2 linked regions of the Drosophila melanogaster genome follow. The protein of the gene in region 1 interacts with the protein of each later gene in a biochemical or structural test. Each region holds a gene or a part of one and is shown on either strand. Other genes may lie near its edges.

What was found. Proteins that work in one complex are often made in the same cells at the same time.
Region 2: the proteins of Su(var)205 (region 1) and His3:CG31613 form a complex in vitro, tested with the Drosophila melanogaster proteins (9 studies listed by BioGRID, with this or other methods).

What each region holds. Positions count from the first base shown.
Region 1 is NT_033779.5:8,207,003-8,213,011, forward strand, and holds Su(var)205 (suppressor of variegation 205), read right to left. Parts: upstream 4,121-6,009; 5' UTR 3,842-4,120; coding exon 3,728-3,841; intron 3,665-3,727; coding exon 3,548-3,664; intron 3,472-3,547; coding exon 3,351-3,471; intron 3,102-3,350; coding exon 2,833-3,101; 3' UTR 2,624-2,832; downstream 1-2,623. Other genes in the region: CG8419 (uncharacterized protein), read left to right, coding at 1-467, 525-773, 836-1,394, 1,448-1,596, 1,652-2,269; Ssb-c31a (single stranded-binding protein c31A), read left to right, coding at 4,444-4,500, 4,557-4,832; CG8372 (uncharacterized protein), read right to left, coding at 5,117-5,707. UniProt on the Drosophila melanogaster protein: Structural component of heterochromatin, involved in gene repression and the modification of position-effect-variegation. Recognizes and binds histone H3 tails methylated at 'Lys-9', leading to epigenetic repression.
Region 2 is NT_033779.5:21,422,339-21,427,355, reverse strand, and holds His3:CG31613 (histone H3), read right to left. Parts: upstream 2,164-5,017; 5' UTR 2,107-2,163; coding exon 1,696-2,106; 3' UTR 1,635-1,695; downstream 1-1,634. Other genes in the region: His1:CG33804 (histone H1), read right to left, coding at 1-281; His4:CG31611 (histone H4), read left to right, coding at 2,407-2,718; His2A:CG31618 (histone H2A), read right to left, coding at 3,193-3,567; His2B:CG17949 (histone H2B), read left to right, coding at 3,794-4,165; His1:CG31617 (histone H1), read right to left, coding at 4,572-5,017.

The sequences.
Region 1 (6,009 bases):
AACCCCAGGTCCAGATGCCAACTCAACTTCTGCTTTCACTGACTCCAAGACCAGAGGTCTTTGATGCACCCTCACCACTGACCAGAAGTCCCTCACGATCTCCCGGAATCTCTCCCCCCGTGTCACCATCACCCAGCATTACTCTCAGACCGAGTACCCCTCCCGAGAACACCGTAATCTTCACAGATGATCTCAAGTGCGGCATCTGCCTGGATGTTTACACAGATCCCAGGACACTGCATTGCTTGCATTCCTTTTGTCTCCAATGTCTGGTCAGCGAGAACTTTAAGGACGAATCTTTGTGGGATCAGGATCAAGCTCGCAGTGAGGAGCCCTCGAATTACAGTCTAAGATCGGAGATGGGTGGATCTAGTGCGGAACTTACTGCGACAGTATCACCCGCCAGGCAGCGAGGTTCCAGTTTTACATTGAGAAGAAAGAAGTCCATGGATCGCCTAGTGATAAGGGTAAGATAGCAAGATACAAAGAGGTTATGTCCTATAAAACCCAATTTATTCGAACAGTCCAAGAGTGACGGAAAGCGATCGACCAGTTCCATCGGTACCCGATTCACCGGAAGTTTTGCCAGCGAGGTATCCACCCGCTGCATCCGCTGTCATACCTGTAACTATCCCACGGATCTTTCGTTAGGTGGAGTACGTCAGCTTCCACAGAACTACTTGCTAGTGAGACGCATAGAGGTCTTGCGACTACAGGCTGGGGAGGATGTAATCTCCAGGGTCTGGTGTTCTCTTTGCACAGAGGAGATTAGCGTAAGGAGGACGAAGTCATTAAGTGATTTGAAGGCTGTCTAAAAGCGTATAATCTTTTCCAGGCCACCTACCACTGCATTAGCTGCACTTTAAACCTCTGCACCTTGTGCAAGGAGGCACACGAAAGGCAAAGGAGCACCGCTAGCCATCGAATGAGAAGCATCCTGGAACTTAGACGCGCCAGGAAGCAAAAGCAACAGCAGATGGGATTGGGAGATAGTAGCAAACTAGTGCTACGATGCGGAATCCATACCAACTTTGAGCTGAAGGCATTTTGCACCAACTGCCGTCAACTGGCATGCACCGACTGTTTGGTGATCCTTCATAAAGGCCATCGACATGAGACCATATCCCGGGCAATTGGACATCAGGGTAAACTACTCAAAGAAGCTACGGATCAAACTCGTCCCCTCTGTCAATATGCGGAGCACTCCATTGAGAGGTTGAATGCCATAGCACGTGGAATCAACGACCGGTGTGACGACATCCAGACTCAAGTGGAGCGGTACATGCAGCAGTACATGGATGCCCTGACAGTCCATCGCAAGACTCTGCTCCAGCAAATCAGCAGAGCTAGGGAGTCCAAAGTGGAGGTAGTGCTCAAGCAGCAACTTGATTTGGGTAAGACATATTTCATTTGGTTAAAGCTCTAGTTATCTGACGTAGTCCTGTAGAGAAACGCACTCAGCAGGCCATGGATGCGGTTAGATTTAGCCAAGAGCTGTGCGAGATTGGTGCTGATGTAGAGATTCTGAGTTATGTGACTATACTTCTAAGGCGTTTGGAGTACTGTCAGCAATTTAAGCCGCCTGTGGATCCCAAGGTAGGTTACCAAATTGCTTGTTTTATTGTTTTATAAAGTAAACCATTTTACCCAGATATCCGACTCGCTTCACTTCCTACCAAAAATCCGTGCTCCGTCGACAAAGGACCAGCGCGATATCCCTCTATATGGCATCATCACCATGCAGGTAGTGGAGCCTAGTCTATGCACCCTTGAGTGGGAGGGATTTTCACAGCTGCGCCTCCACAAAAAAGCGGATCTTCTGCTTCACTCTAGAGATGCCGACGGGGTTTCCCTCTGCCACGGTGGCCTGGAGATCAACTGCATGCTGAAGTACAAGGACTCCAGTTCCAAGTTTCTACCCGTTGAGGTGTCGGACAATCGTGATGGCACCTACAACATATCCTTCACCCCGGATGCCCAGGGCACGTTGATTCTCACGATCACCATTAACGACCGGCCCATCAAGGGAGGTCCTTTCACTTTTCAAGCGCGACAGGTTCGTCCGCATACGGGCATCTACCACTGCTGCTCCTTCTGTTCCGGAAAGGGCAACCGGAACGTGATGTGCTCGTGTGAGGGTCATATGCCTGGATATAGTGGCTGCGGTCATGGACATGCTGGACATCCAGGGAGACGTCATTGGTCCTGCTGTGGAAATGTCCTTGAGAACTCGGAATGCAATGTGGCCAACAAACTGCTTAATTCTTAAGTAATTGATTAGGATGCAGGGCTATAAAACGAATAAATTAACATATAGCCAGGTTTCGCCATTTTGTTTGTTCATCTTGTGAAATTTCAAAGATCTTGTAGTTTATACGCACGCGCAGATAGACAACAAGGATACTTCAAAATAAACGTTTTTCTACCTGCAAAATACATGCATTCCAACAGACCCGACAGTCCATTTACAATGTGCACACAATAATCTCAGATTGCTAAGGCTACAAAATCCCTTTCGACCTCTGGAATTACCAATTGAATTCTCCTTATTACCATATGGTCAGCATATGCGCGTCATATCCTGACCGTTGAGCAACAAGTCGCAAATAAAAGTTACTTATATAGGCTCCAGCAGAATAAAGGTTTTTTTTATTTATTGAAAATGGTTATCATAAATACAGACACTGACTCTGGACATTTATGGAAAAAAGTCCGATGCCTTAAGAGTTGGTTGGGTGGTTTTGAAAGCGCCTGCAAGGAGCTATAATTCTAAGTGGGTAATTTTTCGTTAAATGTATAATCGTTCTTTTTCGCTTTCGATGATCCAACTGTTTAATCTTCATTATCAGAGTACCAGGATAGGCGCTCTTCGTAGAAGTGGATTACCATTCGTGGGATTTTTTCATTGGCCACTGAGGAGGGCACCATTTCTGCTTGGTCCACGCCTTTGAACTGAATGAGGAATGTCAGGCGGCCATTATTGTCGGAGGCACCCAAGATCTTTTCGGCCTCCAGGCCGCGATCGAATCCGGTAGATCCTGAAACGGGAATGGTGTCCTGCTCCGCATCTGTGGTACGTTTTGATTTATTGCCAGAGGGCGCTAAATAAATAAAATAAAAACAAGTAATTAATACAGTGCAATTTTTTAATAGATGCATTTTTTTATTGCAAAGACCATCTTTTTCTTGCGCATGCCATTCTTGCGAAGGACAAAATTTGAGATACATATGTGAATACAGTTTTGACGAAAAGGGCAAATAAATGCCAGTGGATATTGTAGGTGATGACTATTGTTATACCAATTTGTGTACAGAAAATATTTGTAGGTACACTCAATTCCATAGCTTACCTGTTGGTTCTTCGGACTTTCGCTTGCTTGCTGTGGACGTCGAACTGCTGGCGCGTCCTTGAGTTTCCTTGGCCTTGGCGCTGCTGCTGGGTCGATCCTTCTTGGAGGCGGCTGACTTCTCCTACGGACCGAAACGAGATGTAAAGGAAATCCTAGCAAGCACAACTGTACTTGGCATCGCATTGTACTTCACTTACCTCATCCTTGCGGCTCGCCTCGTACTGCTGGATAAGATCCTGGCAGTCGAGATTGTTCTCCGGCTCCCACGTGTTCTCAGTTTCGGGATAGCCCTTCCATTTCAGATAGTACTCCACCTGCAGGTGGAAAATGGCGTTTTAGGACCAAATATAATGGGACGTCTGGTTCGGAAAACTCACCTTTCCCTTGCGCACCCGCCTGTCGATGATCTTTTCCACGGCGTACTCCTCCTCCTCCTCTTCGGCATCGGAAACCTTTGCCGAGCTCTCAGGGTTGTCGATTTTCTTGCCCATTTTGTTTTTATTAAAATACTTCACACGACAAAAAATAAGGAAAGAATTAGCACAACCGCACACAACCGCACACACACGCAAAGTACGAAAGGAAAGTACGATTTTTAGTCGACTCTCTTTGCTTTCATGGCTCACCTAGATTAAATAAGATCTACACTTTATGCACGCAGCTAAATTGGTTTTTATAAGCCTGTGTGTTGGCGCTAGAAGACTTTCCACAAAATGAAAAATCTGCAAAAAAATGCGCGTTCTAAAATGACGCCGGCCGAACAGTGTGCGAAAGTACGCGTGGACTGCTAAGACTACGCTTATCTATTTTCCGATAGATTTGCACATCGTATTAATTTCATTTTAAGTCTAGAAAAATGTTAACACTAAGAACTATCTAAATTTTACAACATAACTATAATAATAACGTAACTAACTGATCGCCAATATCTGTTTTTAAAAATTTTGTAATAAATCGATGAATCGATTAAGGAATCCGTTGTACCACAACTATTATCGACGCGTTTCACAGCACTGAATAAGTTGCGCGAATATTCACGAATTTTTTGACAATTTGCGTTTTGTTTCTTCTGTTTTACGGAAATTCTATAAAAATGCCCAAAACAAAGAAGAAGGATTCGTCCTCAGATAGCGATAGCGGTCCAGATGATGTAAGTTAACTAGAAATACACCAAAACTAGGTATAACAAGTTAAAACCTCTTTCAGCGTATCAAGCCGGCAAGCAAGAAGGCGAAGGAATCTGATGCTCCAAATTCAGATCCAAAAGATTCGGGCGAAAATGGTGCTACATCTTGGACCCTGGAAGGACTTCGCCAGGTGCGAATCAACGAGTTCCGCGGTCGCAAATCGGTGGACATTCGAGAGTTCTACGATAAGGGCGGCCAAATTCTTCCCGGCAAGAAGGGCATCTCCCTATCTTTAATTCAATGGAAGAAACTCCTTGAAGTGGCCGAAGAAGTCACCCGCGCGATCGAGAATTAATTGAAGTTCATCCACATGCCAAACTAAGTCGTAGCCATATGTACTAACTATAGACATATCCACTGAATAAACGTTATCTTAAACACTAGTAATTGAAAATCTGTATTTTCACAGTTGCTGAAGCATTAATGAATGACCAACTTAATTGCCTGATAGGTATTTTCCTTATCTGCTTTGTGGTGGGACTACAAAAAGCACACATATACATAAATGAATGAATCCTTTATTGGACGTCATATGTACATAGATTTGTACATTGATAGCATTTGATATAGATATGAATATTAAAAATAGATGCCCAGAATGGTGAAGATGGACAGGAGAATGGCAAACGGCAGCCAGGTCTTAATAAAACCCCCTATTCCGACGTAGCGGCCGCAGACAAAGAGCCACATGCTGAGGATAATCATGTTCCATGCGGTGCTGTCGTAGTAGCGCATGTAGATGAGTGCCGTTGCCACATGCGAGTGGCAGTTGTCACAGAAGATATTGTGGATGCGGGTGCCGTAGAGCACAGATGCTTTGGAGACCGCCTCGTCCCAGGCGTAACTGCCGCCCACCATGTGCTTGGGGTGCAACCTTATGTACCGGGTGGGTCTTCCAAAGGCCATGTTGTCCTCTGATACGAAGTAGGGGCCGGCGAAGTCACGAATCACACCGGACGAAGTGCAAATGCCCATATGTCCGATCATGGGCATCAGCCAGGTGAGAACCGGAATGGGAGTCCAAACGATGCAGTAGGGGAAGCGTTGGTCCTTTACGTTGATCGGAGGCAGTCTATCCGGAACGCCATTGCCGGCTCCTCCTCCGGAACTGGCCATCGAGATCTGAACGTCCTCGGACTGTTGCCGCTGCGGACTTGGGTTTGTCGACATTATTACACTGTATTAGGTTGATATTTGTGCGGGGAAGCCACAAGAACAGTCACTCACGGTCTTCCCGGCCGTAATGCCCATGAAACGAGTCGCTAACAATTCCAATTGGGCTTTAATTGTACGATAAGGAGAAAATAAAGCAGTCGCAGTTCACTCACATCTACCTCAGTATTTATTGACATGGAGATTGACAGTGTTGGAAAGCATTGCTGTATGGCAGAGGCGTCTGAAAGGGGGATCCAGAGACCACGTACAAACGTAGTCACACGAAATTTTCAACTCCGCAAAGTTGACAAATTCTT
Region 2 (5,017 bases), about 13 Mb from region 1:
AAGTACTTCTTGATGAATGGCGCTAACTTTTGGGCGTCGCATTTATAAGTGGCAGTGATATATTTTTTGATTGCCAGAAGTGATGAACCGCCACGTTCCTTTAAATTTTTAATGGAAGCGTCCACCATTTGCTGAGTTGGCGGATGTGACGGCGTCGCAGAGGCTTTCTTTGCCTTTGTGCCAGCAGATCCAGATGCCTTTTTTTGGACCACTTTCTTCTCAACTGTCGCTGGTGGGGCAGCCACTGGGGAAGCGGACGTTGCAACTGCAGAATCAGACATCTTTTTTTCACTGAGAACACTTTTTTTCTGTTAAAAATGGCTCGCGCGCTGCCTACCAACCTCCTTTGCTCTGATGAGAATCGAGGAGGAGAGCACTTTAACAATGCTACTGACATCAGTCATTTACTATGTCAAAGTTTGCTTGAAGTGTAAACTTTTATTAATTTTTTAGTATTTTAAATCATTAATAAAAATAAGGTTTTAATAGTTCTACACTTTTAAATAATTTTTTCGTCACTTTCCATTTTTAAAAGGATGTAATATGGGTTTTGAGACTTTCAAATGTTGATTGAATTTTTATATTCAAATTTTTAACTGGACCAATTTATAAAAAAACATCTAATAAAATAAGAATCATTGCAAATATTTCACTAATTCGTTATGTTTATTAAAATTGAAACGTTCATCCCCTAGAAGGGCTTCTGAAAGAAGCGTCTATTATTAATTAAGATACTTTATTACTTGATTTAAGTTCACATTGAACTACAGAAAAATTTGCTTTAAAGCAGCATTCAGAAATAATTTTCGATCGTTAAAAATACAGATACTTTCTTAAATAACATAATATTAATATAATAAATAATATTTTCTTAAATTATTAATGTGTTTGCTTGTTATTAATGTGTTTTCATGCATATTTTAAAATAATTTGTTCTGAAATCAATCGATTTCCTCGCCACATATGCATTACCGTCTATGTAGTCAAATAAATAAATCAAATAAAAAATAAAAAGAAACAATTTTTGTATTATCCTTTATTATGTAATATATATTACATTCCGCAACAAAATTAGCCAATTTCCGTGCTGAATTTTACATAGGTTTTATTTTTTACAGGCGTTTGAAGGGACAGTGTCAATTGTCCCGTACGACCTCTTCAATAATAACACTTTCTTCAGTTAACACATGGAAAAAATATAAAATAGCTAGTTTTATTTTATTATTTTCTGTTATTTTATAAATATTGCCGTCATCAATGTAATTTCATTAATTTCAAACTGTCTTACACAGAATTCAGATTTTTTTTTAGATGTTTAAGGTTCAGAGTCCCTTGCCCCGCACGACACTTTCACTGCTTTAAAGGATGTTCGCACAAAGAACAAATAAAAATATATATTTTTATATATATTTTATATTTATTAACCTCTTCTTTAATTTAATAAATGTTGAGCTGACAATTAAAATAAGATTATTTTTATTCCTTCTCTGGCAGAATTAGTATTTTTACATATGATTTAAGACCCAGTACCGTTTGCGCCATAAATAATAGAATATGAATTTTGTTCTTATTTTTTTTAAGTTATAAATAGTCGGCAACAGAAAATTTTATCTCATTGAATCTGGTTTGTGGTCCTGAAAAGGACCGATTATAGAGTACGCTAGCGCTTTATCTGCAAGTTAATGCCGTGTCAGCTTAAGCACGCTCGCCGCGAATGCGTCGCGCTAACTGGATGTCTTTGGGCATTATGGTGACACGCTTGGCATGAATGGCACACAAGTTGGTATCTTCGAAGAGACCAACCAGGTAGGCTTCGCTAGCTTCCTGCAGAGCCATAACCGCCGAGCTCTGGAATCGCAAGTCCGTCTTAAAGTCCTGAGCGATTTCACGCACCAGACGCTGGAAAGGCAGCTTGCGGATTAGAAGCTCGGTGCTCTTTTGGTAGCGACGAATTTCACGCAAGGCCACGGTTCCAGGGCGATAGCGGTGGGGCTTCTTCACACCTCCGGTGGCTGGAGCACTCTTGCGAGCGGCCTTAGTAGCCAGTTGTTTGCGTGGCGCCTTTCCACCAGTCGATTTGCGAGCAGTTTGCTTGGTACGAGCCATCTCCGATTTGGGTTTCACTAAAGTTCACGTTCACTACTTCACGTTTGAAAACACAATAAACGATCAGAGCATTTGCTACCTACTTATATAGCAATCGTGGACGGTGAAAGAGAGAGAGAGAGAGAGAGAGAGAAAAACGGAGGCCATTTCATTTGACGAGCGAAAAGCGAACGAACATATCGTTCGTACTCTCTCGGGTTTTTGTCGTTTTACCTATAAATAGGGGCACACAGAAACGTTGAAATTAGTTCTTTAGTGACTTTCGTGCTGTGCGTGTATAATAGTATAGAACAGTGAAAAATGACTGGTCGTGGTAAAGGAGGCAAAGGCTTGGGAAAGGGTGGCGCCAAGCGTCATCGCAAAGTGCTGCGTGATAACATCCAAGGTATCACGAAGCCTGCTATCCGCCGTTTGGCCCGTCGAGGCGGTGTGAAGCGCATATCTGGACTCATATACGAGGAAACGCGTGGCGTTCTGAAGGTTTTCTTGGAGAACGTAATTCGTGATGCCGTGACCTACACGGAACACGCCAAGAGGAAGACAGTTACAGCCATGGATGTTGTGTACGCTCTGAAGAGGCAAGGCCGCACCCTCTACGGATTTGGCGGTTAAAAAGTGTACATCCTGTGTACCCCTATTAAGCAATCGGTCCTTTTCAGGACCACCATTCAGTTTTTAAAAGGAGGAAGATTTTCAAAAAGTATTTAATTTTATTGGTCGGGACTCCCAAAAAATATGTTAAACTAAAAATAAATGTCTGTCGTTCGTACTCTTTTAAATAGAATGTGTATTTCTAACATGGATTTGTACAGACTGTACAAATGGTTTCAGACACCGCATGTACAGCATCACATCGTGGTGTGCGATTGTTTAAAGAAGCAAATTATAGTTTATACCGCATATAGTAGAAAACCCTTACTACATTACCATCTTTACGTTAATAATTCTTTATGATTTACTAATTACAACAAATTGCCAAGCTAAAAAATTTTTCAATTCTTTGGTAATAATTTGGTCGTCCTGAAAAGGACGGTTTGATTGACGATTTTATGTACATGTAGGTTTTTAGCTTAGCCTTTGAAACGTTTAGGCCTTCTTCTCGGTCTTCTTGGGCAACAGAACAGCCTGTATATTAGGCAACACGCCACCTTGTGCAATTGTGACGCCGGAGAGCAGCTTGTTTAACTCCTCGTCGTTGCGGATGGCCAGTTGCAGATGACGCGGAATAATTCTAGTCTTCTTGTTGTCACGAGCAGCATTGCCAGCCAACTCGAGAACCTCAGCGGCCAGATATTCCATTACGGCAGCTAGGTAAACTGGAGCGCCTGCACCAACACGCTCTGCGTAGTTTCCCTTCCGGAGCAAACGGTGAATACGGCCCACAGGGAATTGAAGACCGGCACGGTTTGAGCGGGACTTTGCCTTTCCCTTCACTTTGCCACCTTTTCCACGTCCAGACATTTTGCTTTGCGTTTATTTCACTTAGTTCACTTTACGCACGGAACACGAATGCTCGCCTAACCCAGACAGCGAAATATTTATACTTTTCCGTTTGCCTGCGCATTCAGTTAGGGGTGGGTGACTTAGACCTGAATTGACTGCTCGAAAAAAAGTATAAACGTGAACGCGTTCGGGCCCACATTACGATAAGTGAATTGTGTTTGTGAAAATATAAGTAACGTGAACAATGCCTCCGAAAACTAGTGGAAAGGCAGCCAAGAAGGCTGGCAAGGCTCAGAAGAACATCACCAAGACCGACAAGAAAAAGAAGCGCAAAAGGAAGGAGAGCTATGCCATCTACATTTACAAGGTTCTCAAGCAGGTCCATCCTGACACCGGAATTTCGTCGAAGGCGATGAGCATAATGAACAGCTTTGTAAATGATATTTTCGAGCGAATTGCTGCCGAAGCGTCTCGTCTAGCTCACTACAACAAGCGCTCGACCATCACCAGTCGGGAGATCCAAACGGCTGTTCGCCTGCTTTTGCCTGGAGAGTTGGCCAAGCATGCTGTCAGTGAGGGAACCAAGGCTGTCACCAAGTACACCAGCTCTAAATAATTTTCTCCTGCGAATGCGGACAATAATCCAAAACGGCCCTTTTCAAGGCCACAATGTGTTATACCAAAGAAATGCATTTTTCAACTACCAATCATCGAATATGAATTTACAAATAAAACTTATTTACCCGCAATATGGGTAATTGGGTAATGTTCAAATAAATACAAAAAAATCGGGAACGAAAACTGAATGCGACCAACATGCAATGTAATTCATGACATGAAACGTTTTATTGTTGCTGCGAACGTCAGCTAATAAATAAGTGGAAGAAAATAAAAGTTTTTTTCTCTTGCAACGGAACGTTGTAGCCCTGAAAAGGACTTGTTTAAACAAATTTCAGATCTATAAATCATAAATCTAAAATTTTAATTGCGAACATGTACCAAATACTGCACTTTTTCACAATTTACTTTTTGGCAGCCGTAGTCTTCGCTTTCGGCTTCTTGGCGGTAGCAGAAACCGATGCTTTCTTCACCGTCTTTTTGGGTTTTGCAGACACCGCTGGCTTTGCCTTTGACGCTTTCGCTACTACAGCCTTTGGCTTCGCTGCAGTCACTTTCGCCTTTGTTGCGGCGGGCTTCGACTTTATGATTCCAGTTTTCTTGGCATCCTTGGCTTTTGCCTTCTCAGTTTTCTTATTTTCGGCAGTCTTTTTGGTAGCCACAGCCTTCTTAGCTTTGGGCTTTTTGTCAGCAGCCCCAACGGCAGTTTTTTTAGAGGAGACACCAATCTTCTTAGAGGCTACCTTCTTGCTTTGAACTTTTTTCTCAGCAGACAAAACCTTCGACTTTGCCTTCGGATCCTTTTCCTTCTTGGCAGAGGCCGACAGTTTGAAAGATCCAGATGCACCCT